Linked DNA regions of Oryzias latipes. The protein of the gene in region 1 interacts with the protein of each later gene in a biochemical or structural test. Links are inferred from orthologs where the notes say so. Each region holds a gene or a part of one and is shown in the gene's direction. Other genes may lie near its edges.

Region 1 (3,576 bases):
TCAGTCATTAAATTTTAAATCAAACAAAAATTACAAAAGCAAGATTTTCTTATGATGGTTAAAATTAATTTAAGTTGCACACAACTGAAATGTAATCTATTCAATGTGTTTACTGTGAATATGAATGACTTAGACACCAGAAGGATGCTCTGTCCAGATGTTTGTGTATTTGTTGGTGTGAGGGTCATTGAAAGAGGAATGTTGAGATACAAAGAATTAATAGTTAAATACTGATGGATGAACGGTGAAATATTCACTTGTTACAATCATCAGCCATCAACCTCACCGCACGTCACTGAGTATTTGTGTGTGTCAGAGACAGGCAGAGAAAAGAGAGAGAGAAAGATAGTGTTTGTGTGTGTGTGTATGAGATGTGACAGAGGTGCCTGTGTGTGTGGAGGGGGTATCTGACCTCCAGGGTTACCTGTGTTAACTCTGGCTAAGCTGCATTTGATGTGTGTATTGAGGATGGACGCTTTCCTTGAAATAAACACAAGTACCATACTTGCTGTTGTGTTGTAGGGAGAGGAGTGTGTTATGGAAAATGATATGGCTTTAATTGTGTGTTTGTGTGTGTACGTCTTGGCAGGTCAGTGTGTGATGTGGCTCTTTGACTCTCACAGTGAAAAAATTCGGCTCTTGGTGACAAACTTGTTCGCCACCCCTGACATAGACAATGGACCCAAAAACATATTTTCATATTTTTGGCACAAAAGGAACCTCATAAAGATACGCACACTCAGCAGAAAAAAAGGTACTTGCATGTTTTGTAGGTCTATTATTACCATACAGTGATACCGGCACACAGAGCAGCTGAGGCGCTCGCTTTCTTAGTATGGGGAGGAAAATCATTCATTTTTTAAAAGTGTGATTAACAGTGTTAGAAGATGCCTGCGTTTACGCATGATTGAAGCGTTAAAAGCGACGGCCCTAGTTGCTAGAATATTGTGACATGCAGAGGACTCAGTGTGTGGTTTCCATGACCAATCAGATGGTGCAAGTGGCAGACAATGCTGGACACATGCATTCTCTGTCGTCTCTGCCAAAATAACCACTTCAAAATCGCCCCGTCAGATTAAAAGGCAGACGCTGATGTACATCAAAATAAAAAAATATGGGGCTGGCTAAAAATTGATCAACTCCAGATAGAAGCCCCCTCAAGAAGGCATGTAATAAGACTCTGCATGTAGGCTTTTCCTAAAGATGCTGAACAGTGCACTTTTCTCACTTTTCTCTGCTCTGAAAGCCTTTTTCGGTATCCAGGGTCTTTCCGGCAGATCTGCAGCCAGAGGAACCGGTCTGGTTTACTCGGAGATCTTTACTCGGCACCAAAACCTGTGGGAGCCCAGGTAACCGCGCCTCAGAACATTTGTTCTTTCTGGACTGCTTTGGTCTTTGGTCATGGATTCAGTTTGTGGTGTAGCATGGTCATTCTGAAGATCAGCAGGGTCCCCACAGAGGCTCAGACGTGTCCCTGTCACACAGGGACACGAAAGTTGCTGTTGATCTCTGTTGGTGACTCTCAGGAGCTTGATTGTGAAGAGTTTCTCAGGTCTTGGTGATCCTTGGATCCTCTGATGTTTTTCTCTCCTGCTGTCAGTCATCCAGAGAGTCCAGACAGAGTCAGGTCCATCATGGAGGAGCTGGAGCGGCAGCAGCTGCTGCCTTGCTGCGTCAGTGTTCAGGTGAGAGCTGTGAGCCAAAATTGAGAGTTTCTCTGATCAAAAGGAAAATACCCTCTGTTTGGCTTTCAGCCTCGGGCAGCTACAGAGGAGGAGCTGCTGCTCGTACACACGTGAGTCAGAGCAGGCTGCACACATGCACACACACACAACCCCTGTCTTTCCTGCCACCTCATCCCACACTTGTGCTCTGATTGTGTTATTCCAGGAAGGATTATATAGACCTGGTCAAGTCCACAGAGACCATGACACAGTCTGAGCTGCAGACCCTTTGTTGCAAATACGACTCTGTCTATCTGCATCCTGTGAGCAAACACGCCTGCACACTAGCAATCACAAACGTACATGCACATACTCACACGTACACACAAACACTCATGCAACCACACTGGCAAATGTACTTGTAAACACATGATCACAGAAAATGTGCAAACAGCCACAAAATGTACTCACACTTATACTCAAACACACATTAATGCACAAACGTACACAAACTCAAAGAAACAATTATATGTGCACATGCACATAGGTGTGTGTGCACCCTTGGAGTGAAAACATGCTTTTTCCTGTAACAGTGACATCATGACATTCAAGTCAAGTCAGCAGTGTGTCTGTATATCTTTGTCAGCTGTCCTTCAAGGTATGTGCAATAGCAGCCGGTTCTGTCCTGCAGCTGGTTGATGAGGTCATGGCCTTTAATCTCAGGAATGGATTTGCTGTCATCAGGTAAATGCAGCTGCTTCCTCTGTGATGCTTGGAGGATCAGGTGCGTGTCGTTTCTCCATCATTTAAGTCACCATTGTGATGTCTCTTTTTCTCTTACAGGCCCCCAGGTCATCACGCTCAGACCAGCGAGCCCAACGGTTTCTGTGTGTTCAACAATGTGGCAATTGCAGCTCGCTACGCCTGCAGCCGTCACGCCGTCAGCAGGTACAGTGTGTGTAGCCAAGGGAGCAGCAGCTTTCTAATGCTGTCATTCACATCTTCTTTGACACCATCTACACAGCTGTGCGCCTCTGATCTGGTGCTATTCTTTTTATCGCTTTGTCTTTCAGGGTTTTAATTGTGGACTGGGATGTTCACCATGGGCAGGGTCTTCAGTACCTTTTCCAGGAGGATCCCAGGTAATTGGTGGGGTTGTAGGTCAATACTGTAGGTTGGGTGTTCAAATCCCCTGTTAGAGAGTCATTGGTGTAAGGCAGTGCTTTTCAATTATTTTTTCCAAGGCCCCCCTTAGGAAATAGAAAATGCCCCCCCCCCCCACACACACACACACTCACCATGGTTCAATTCAATTTTTTCAATTCAATTTTATTTGTATAGCCCAAAATCACAACAACAGTCATCTCGATGGGCTTCGAAGTGAAACATGAACTCAAAAGGATCACAAATACAAAGAGTTCAATATTAAAATACTAAAATGAACTAACAAACTGACTAAGCTATACTGGCATCCCTGCCCTTAGACCCCCCTTCGCGGTAAGGAAAAACTCCCAAAAAACCGGATTCCGGAAAAACGAAGAAACCTCAGGGGTGTCCACATGAAGGAGGGATCCTCCCCCAGGACGGACATGCGATTTACCAGAACTCAAAGAGAAGAATTTACTTATTTAAATCTACAACTACACATTTAAAGTCCAGCAGACGAGCTTCATCCAGCCGTGGTTGGGGGGACAGTCAAAGGCGCGAGTCGAGCCGGAGACAGGAACCACAGCCAGGTGTAGGAGCAGGAGCAGAGACGAGGTACTCGGTCAGGTACAGAGCAGAGACGAGCCAGAGATGAGCCAGAGGCAGGATCCACAGCCAGGTGTAGGAGCAGGAGCAAAGGCGAGGTACACGGTCAGGAACTGGAGCACGGATGAACCAACTGGAGTCTGGAAGCACTCCCACTCCC
Region 2 (3,485 bases), on another chromosome or scaffold:
TATTTAGCCTGTCTGTGGGGTGAAGGTTCTTAAACTCCACAGACATCACACTGACCTCCAAAGCAGCAGCTTCTTCTCCGGTTGATGATGGTTTCAGCCGTCTTCGTCTTTCTTCATCTCTCCCATCATTCAAAGGTTTCCTGGATGTGACGTCCTCCTGACACGTTAAAGGAAAACACACTGATTTGTGCTGATCAGGACTCTAGCCTGTCTTCTGCCTGACAGACAGAGCTCAGGGCACAGCAGGGATTGGTTTACATCCTAGGCCGTCCAAATATGGGGAATCTGAATATTATGGGCGTGTCAGATGTTTGGAGGGAAGGGCGTCTGATTGGACCTGCTGTATTTGCTCTTTAATAGATGATCAGCAGTTCGAGTACGGCGAGGACCTCGGGGTGACCGCTGTGGCGCTGTACGACTACCAAGCAGGTGAGGAGGAGGAGGATTCCGTTCTCAGCGGTTGACTTCAGCTGCACCTTCAGGGTCTGAAGCCGACAGCCCAGAGAAAAAGACGAGCTCTGTCTGACACATCAGGGTTCTGTTTGAACTCCTTCAGAGGCTAGAATGTCTTTCTTTTTGGAATCTAAGGGTGTGTTCAGACTGGACACGTTTGGTTCCCTAAGTGAACCAGAATTCGCTTTTCCAGATAATCTGGAACAAGTTTTCAGTCTGAATCCACCCAAGAGGACTCTGGTCCAGGACCAGGAACCGCTCTGTGACCCACCTTTGGAGGTGGTCTGGGTTCGTTTCCAATCAGATTCCTCAGCCTGAATACAATCCGTCCTCGGAGCGGAACATCTGGACCCACCGGGCCACCGTAGCCGACCTTAAAACGCTTCTGACAGGCTTTTCTGTGTGGTTACGGCCGACAAACGCCGCTGTGACGTCATCCTAAAAGTTACCTTGTAGTTCCTGAACAGAATTCTTCAAATCGACGCCATAACTGCACAACGATGAGATGCAGAAACTCATTCAGACTATTGGAAGGTGATCCACATCACTTCTCACCGTTTTCCTGACTGTCAGAAACACATTCGTGTTCTTCTGTCCGTCACCGTCCTGCAGCCTGACGTTGATGCAGACGTTCACATCTGTCAGTGAATCTAAAGTCTGAAGGAACTGAAAGTGCAGGACTTCCATCATTTCTGTCTCTGGTTGCTTTGCCCCGCCCTCCTAACTCCTGACCAATGAGTGAAGAGGTCTGCAGTCACATGGTTTTGTTGACAAGCTTTAGTCTGGAACAGAAAGGCTGCCTGACAGCCGTCTGAATATAGACCCAAGACAAGGTTCAGGACTCGATCCGGGTCAGAACCAAACGCTTCTCCGGTCTGAACACAGCCTACTACTCCTTTTTTAGAAAGCTAAAATTAGATGAAACTCCTGTAATTTATTTCCGTTTCTTTATCTCGACCTTCAAAATGCGAGAATAGGATTAAAGAAAATACCTTTTTGGAGGCGGAGTCTGTTTCCAGTGTCTGCAGATGGTTTTCTAACATCCATGTTTTCCGTCTCAGCTGGTGACGACGAGATCTCCTTCGACCCCGATGACATCATCACGAACATTGAGATGATCGATGAAGGCTGGTGGCGTGGCGTGTGCCGAGGAGCCTACGGCCTCTTCCCCGCCAATTACGTGGAGGTTCGGCAGTAAGGAGCGGCGGAGGGCCAGCCCCTCCCCCGGAGGCGGAGCCTCTGCCGCGGTCTTCCCTCCCTTCAGCTCATGTTCGTGATTGGACACAGAGAGACGTCGTCGCTCCTTTTCCCGCCTCAGACCGGCTTTCAGGTCAGGCGGCCTCCGATCTGTCATTCAAGTCATTCCACAGGTTTAGCCCCCCCTGCATCAGCGCGCGTTTATTACCCCCCCCCCCCCCCCCCCCCCCCCCCCCCCCCGGTGCAATCTTCACCAAAGAGTTGGAGTTGGTTTAAAGAACAGCAGAAGAACGGTTCTGCTGAGAGGTCCAGAGCGTCCTTCCTAGCTTCTGTCCGCCTGCGTCTCCTGCGCCGTCTGCGTCGTCTGCGCCGTCTGCGTCGTCTGCGCTCCGTGCTCGAACCCTCCGCAGGAATCCCTCGTCTCCGGCTGCTTCTGTGTTTTCTGGATGTGAGGCTGCCGCCGGCGTTGAGCAGATCCCGCGTGGATCCCGGCGATGTTCGGGACCCGCGCTCATCCTGAGTCCGCCTCGCCGCAGTGCAGCTGAAACATCCGCTCATCTTTGGGGAAACGGATTTAAAAAAGTGACCTTTTTCAAACGTTTGATCTGAAACACCTCTCTGCTTCAGTTTCATCATTATCTGCTCTTTTTTTTTAAAGTTTCAATAAATAAACGGAATAATATTTTTTCTGTGCTTCATTTGAACAAAGTGAGATATTAAAATAATCTGAAATGAAGATGAGGGGGAGGGGCTTATGGCGTCTTTAACTTTATGTACATCCATATTTTTTTACTTGTTGCTTCCTTTCCCCTAAAATGCTGTTTCTTTCAAGCCCGTGAGCAGAAGATGCTTAACTGTAAAGCAGAGCATGAACGCAGAAAACACGACGCCATTTATGATGTTCAGATCCGAATTCTAGGAAAATGTTTGGATGTTTAATGCACTTTCACTGTCTGAATTATCAAAAGAAAGCTGATATTTGATGTTTTGGAGCCTCAAATGTCCAAACGCAGCTGCTAAATGCAAAGGTTTTTCCAAACGGATCCCTTTTAAGATGCGTTTAGACGTTCCTGCTTTCAGGAAGCCAGCAGCAGTTCTGATCTGTCTTCATGTTAACGTCTGAGCACAAAAACATTCAAAGTCTCTTCATTCGGTTAGTTTGGATCCTTTAAAGACCCACTCTGATGGAAAAATGTTTGTAAAATGTTCTTGTCCCATTTTCTTCTCATGGTTGACACACACATATATACATAAAAGGATTAAAATTGCATTTGTATTTGTTTTCATGCTAATTGTTAATCAGAAGCCGACGGTAATCCGTTCTGATCAACAGATCCATGAACGTCTGTGTTTTCCTGGTCTGAGCTGGAGTCTGGATCAGAACCGGACGGCTGGATGGCTCTGACGTTGCTCATCACTTTCTGTTGCACCGCTAATATAGAGACCGTGTCCCACAGCCACTACGTACATGTTTCACATATTTCACGGATGGAAACTGGTCATACGTGAAAACGGAACAATGGTGGTTCTTTGGGATATTTTCACAGATGTTTCACATTAAAACATTAAAACCACGGAACACGTAGAACACGTAACCCCGCGCTGCATTGAGCTTCTTTACTCTGAGCAGAAATCACGTCAGCACCATGGTCAGCGCCCGCCGCCGGCCCCTCGCCACGCTTTACTCAGTTGGATTCTTCTGATCCAAACTAGTTCTGAGTCAGCTGCTGGCCGAGCCGGACGGGGGGAGCGGAAGACCCCTACTCGGTATAGACTGCTGGAGGGGGAAAAAAAATAGACCAATCACACTTGAACCGTGTGCGAGTTGTGCGTCA
Region 3 (3,420 bases), on another chromosome or scaffold:
TTCACGGCTTTACCCTCAACATGCTTTAACGGAGTACGTCCGTGCAGGAAGATCTGCAGAGGACAGTTATTTTAGTTGGACACCACTCCTGACAATAGACAGCATGGAACAGGCGCAGAGGAATGGAGCTCTCAAATGTTCACGACTGAAGGATTGTCCAAACAAAACCGGTCACCGAACGAGTCCAATTGATAATACACCCGAACATTTGTTTGCTGCAGCTGGTTACTATGACAGCAGGTTGCCTGGGGAGACGGCAGACTTTACAGGCTGTTGTTTAGGGGATTTATCTCCACAGCATTGACTGTTTGTGTTTGTGTAACTAAGGACTTTTAACATGGAAGTGAAACGGGCAAAAGGCCAGTTAAACAACTGGAGCAGTCTACATTGGTAGAATGATTAATGATACTGATCTGTGCTGCAACTTAAAAAAAAAAATCGGAATATTAGAAGACAGATTCCCAGGTATTTGGGTTTTCCAGGTTTAATCAGCCTCCATAATCATAAACAGCAGCATAGAGAGGCAAGTTTTGCTATGGCGACAGCTACAAAGTGAAGTAGAGAGAAAAATGTTGTCAACATACCGCATGTGATGCAATTTTATTCTTTCAGTCAGACATTGTGTTCTACATTTAGAGATCTTATTAAGCTTGTTATCCTAATCAAACCTCCTTTTTCAGGAAGAAAACTTGCCGCACCATCACATATGACGAATTCAAGGTTGCACTCGGTGAGCTGGCCAGGAAGAAATACAAAGACAAGACGGGGGAGGAGGCTGAGGCGGAGGTCTTTAAGCTGATCGAAGGGAAGGCGCCGGTCATCGCCGGAGTCACAGTAAGATCTGATTCACACCGCGCACATGATTTGTGCCTGTGTTAATAGCAAAGCGCAGTTACAGCCCGTCCGCTTCTTGACAGAGAGCCGTGGCGTCCCCGACCGTCAGCCGTCTGACAGACCCCACCAAGTTTACCGGCTCGCACAAGGAGCGCTTCGACGAAACCGGCCGCGGTAAAGGGAAGGCCGGGCGGGTAGACATAGTTGACACTTCAGGATACGTCTCTGGATACAAGCATCGAGGGACATATGAGAAGAAAGTGAACAAACCCACAGAGGGTAGACCCATGTGAGGGCGAAGAGAAACATTTCATCCACTACCAGGATGATTTTATATTTAAAAAAAAAACATACTTAGAAAGCACAAAAAAAAAAGGTTTCATCTATTTTCCCGCTCATCTGTTGTGTTTTTTTCTTTTTGAGGAGTTCTTCTCTTTGTGTAAGAACTGGAAAAATGTTTACAGCTATTTTTACAAAGTCGTCACCAGCTGGTACATTCCTGTCTGATAGCAAGTGACTGCCAAAACACGAGAAGAACAAATGCAACTGCAATGCCATGAGTATTCAAAGTCTGTTATGATAGGACCTTATGTTTATCGAGCACAACGAACAACATGCCAAGAAAAGCAGCATTGCAACCGTCTGATGAATTAGCAACATTGCACTTTTTAATAGAAACATTTTTACTACCATATTTAGCTACATTACATTATTCAGCACCTAAGGCGTTTTTAATCCGCTTTAGCTTCAGCTGTGATCGGCACACAGGTAACTGATGTTTGCTGTAAAAGCCTATTTCCTATTAAGCAGTGTTGCACTATGGCTTAAAAAAACCCTGTTCAGTCTTTTAATTAAGTTCAAAAGGTCACTGGAGCAGAAAGTCCTAAGATTACTCGTATTTATTTGAGTCACACCTCTAAAGAAAACTTTGAAAGGGATTGCTTTTACATGAAACTAAAGGGATCATTTTTCTCACTACTTCCTTTTACACACAAAGAAAATTAGGGCACCTAAATGTGTTAGCACTATTCCCAACTTTAAAGAATTTGTCTTTTTGCTCAACCGAGACATATTTGCGTTGTCAGCTTGTGTTTAAATGTGTCATATATTTTACTCTTCATTTAGACAAAAAAAAACTCCATCCCTTCATGCTGCGTGTGGCTCTTCATGAAATCTTTACTCTCACTGTGTTGACGTCTCAGAGTCTGCACAAAAGTGTAAAAAGCCTTTTCATTCTGATAAAAGTACTAACTCTTCAACAAAAGAAATGTTATTAGACTGTATTTTTAACATTTTCTCTTTAGATTAAAACTAATCAACCCTGTGGCAAGACTGTGTAAATATTCAGACATATTTAGCCGCGCACCCTAATTTAAATCACTGGTTGTGTGTTTTAAATTTTCCTGTGATGTGTACTTTTTTTTGCATGTTCTGAATATATTGTTCCAGGGCCTTTATGGATGAAAACTCTGAAACTGCTGTGCCAAACTAACAACTGTTGTGCTTAAAATGTCATTGAAGCCGTGGGATACTGATAAAATCTTGTGTTGCTTGAAATGTTTGCAAAGTAAATTATCCTCGAATGCAACTCTTTTTGTCTGTACTGTTAATGTTTGGTTATCGAACTGACGAAGCAGGGTTTTTTTAATGTTTATTTACTAAGTATTCCACATGAAAGGAGAAACAAACAAGCCACTTTTGTAAAATATTTTTCCAAGATAACAGTTTCTTGTGTAACGCACTACCTGTAGCCTCAGCCGATGAAGAGTCATGCATCAAAACTAGCAGCTCGGTGTGTTTTTGTGTCTGCTGCGAACGCTGGAGTATCGTTTCTGTGCTTCTGATGCCAAATAATGTGCACTTTTATTGTGGAGAAACAATAGTTTTCCAAGTCCTTTTTAACATGCTCATTGTGACCCAGTGCATGCCGTGTTTCAGCGTCTGTCCTTGATCTCGAGATTTCTCCAGGTGTGTTCATGATTTATAGTGCTTTATTCAAAAAATAAAGAAATCCCAACATGTGCCGAGTAGGAGTCAAAAATCAAACTGCAGCAACAGCACCAAACCAGTGACCGGTAACATTTAGAGGAGAGCCAAAGCTGTGTGGACTTTGTGTTGCATAGAAATGCTAAGCTGGTCAGTCTTGTATTAAGGTTTGTGAGAGGAAAGTGCATGTGCGTGCGCAGCCCTCTAGCCCTTCAGGCAGACGTATAAATAAAGTCAGAGTGCAGCTGCAGCCTTGATGCATCCACTCCATTGCAGACAGACACAACTGACCTAAAAAAAAACAGAGAAAAAAAAAGAAAAAGATCTTACAACAAGATCCAGAAAACCTACGACACCGACCTACCTTCTCACATTTTCTCCCTGATAATAATTTGTTAGCATAACAGACCTGACGTGCAGATATACACAATTTCATGAATGAATGGCTCTCCCTGGTTACTGTTTATATCAAGAAGAAAGTCTGTGCTAATTCTTTTAAAAGAAAAAACTACCGTGATTAAAATAATATGTTCAAATGCACCTTTCCATCATATCTGCCTCAAATGCTCTCCGCTTCCCTTCAGCTCGGCAAGCAAAGAC

Evidence for each region. The genes of interacting proteins can lie anywhere in the genome.
Region 2: the proteins of hdac6 (region 1) and cttn form a complex in vitro, tested with the Homo sapiens proteins (3 studies listed by BioGRID and IntAct, with this or other methods). The link is inferred for Oryzias latipes from reciprocal best matches to the Homo sapiens genes HDAC6 and CTTN.
Region 3: the proteins of hdac6 (region 1) and tppp form a complex in vitro, tested with the Homo sapiens proteins (2 studies listed by BioGRID). The link is inferred for Oryzias latipes from reciprocal best matches to the Homo sapiens genes HDAC6 and TPPP.

What each region holds. Positions count from the first base shown.
Region 1 is NC_019865.2:34,318,387-34,321,962, reverse strand, and holds part of hdac6 (histone deacetylase 6), read left to right. Parts: intron 1-1,246; exon of another isoform or gene 1,247-1,263; coding exon 1,264-1,349; intron 1,350-1,600; coding exon 1,601-1,685; intron 1,686-1,754; coding exon 1,755-1,795; intron 1,796-1,890; coding exon 1,891-1,987; intron 1,988-2,310; coding exon 2,311-2,408; intron 2,409-2,507; coding exon 2,508-2,612; intron 2,613-2,737; coding exon 2,738-2,806; intron 2,807-3,576.
Region 2 is NC_019861.2:2,175,531-2,179,015, forward strand, and holds the end of cttn (src substrate cortactin), read left to right. Parts: intron 1-55; exon of another isoform or gene 56-157; intron 158-357; coding exon 358-429; intron 430-1,445; exon of another isoform or gene 1,446-1,514; coding exon 1,515-1,651; 3' UTR 1,652-2,920; downstream 2,921-3,485.
Region 3 is NC_019874.2:16,680,363-16,683,782, forward strand, and holds the end of tppp (tubulin polymerization-promoting protein), read left to right. Parts: intron 1-680; coding exon 681-834; intron 835-917; coding exon 918-1,127; 3' UTR 1,128-2,855; downstream 2,856-3,420. Other genes in the region: cep72 (centrosomal protein of 72 kDa), read right to left, coding at 3,369-3,420.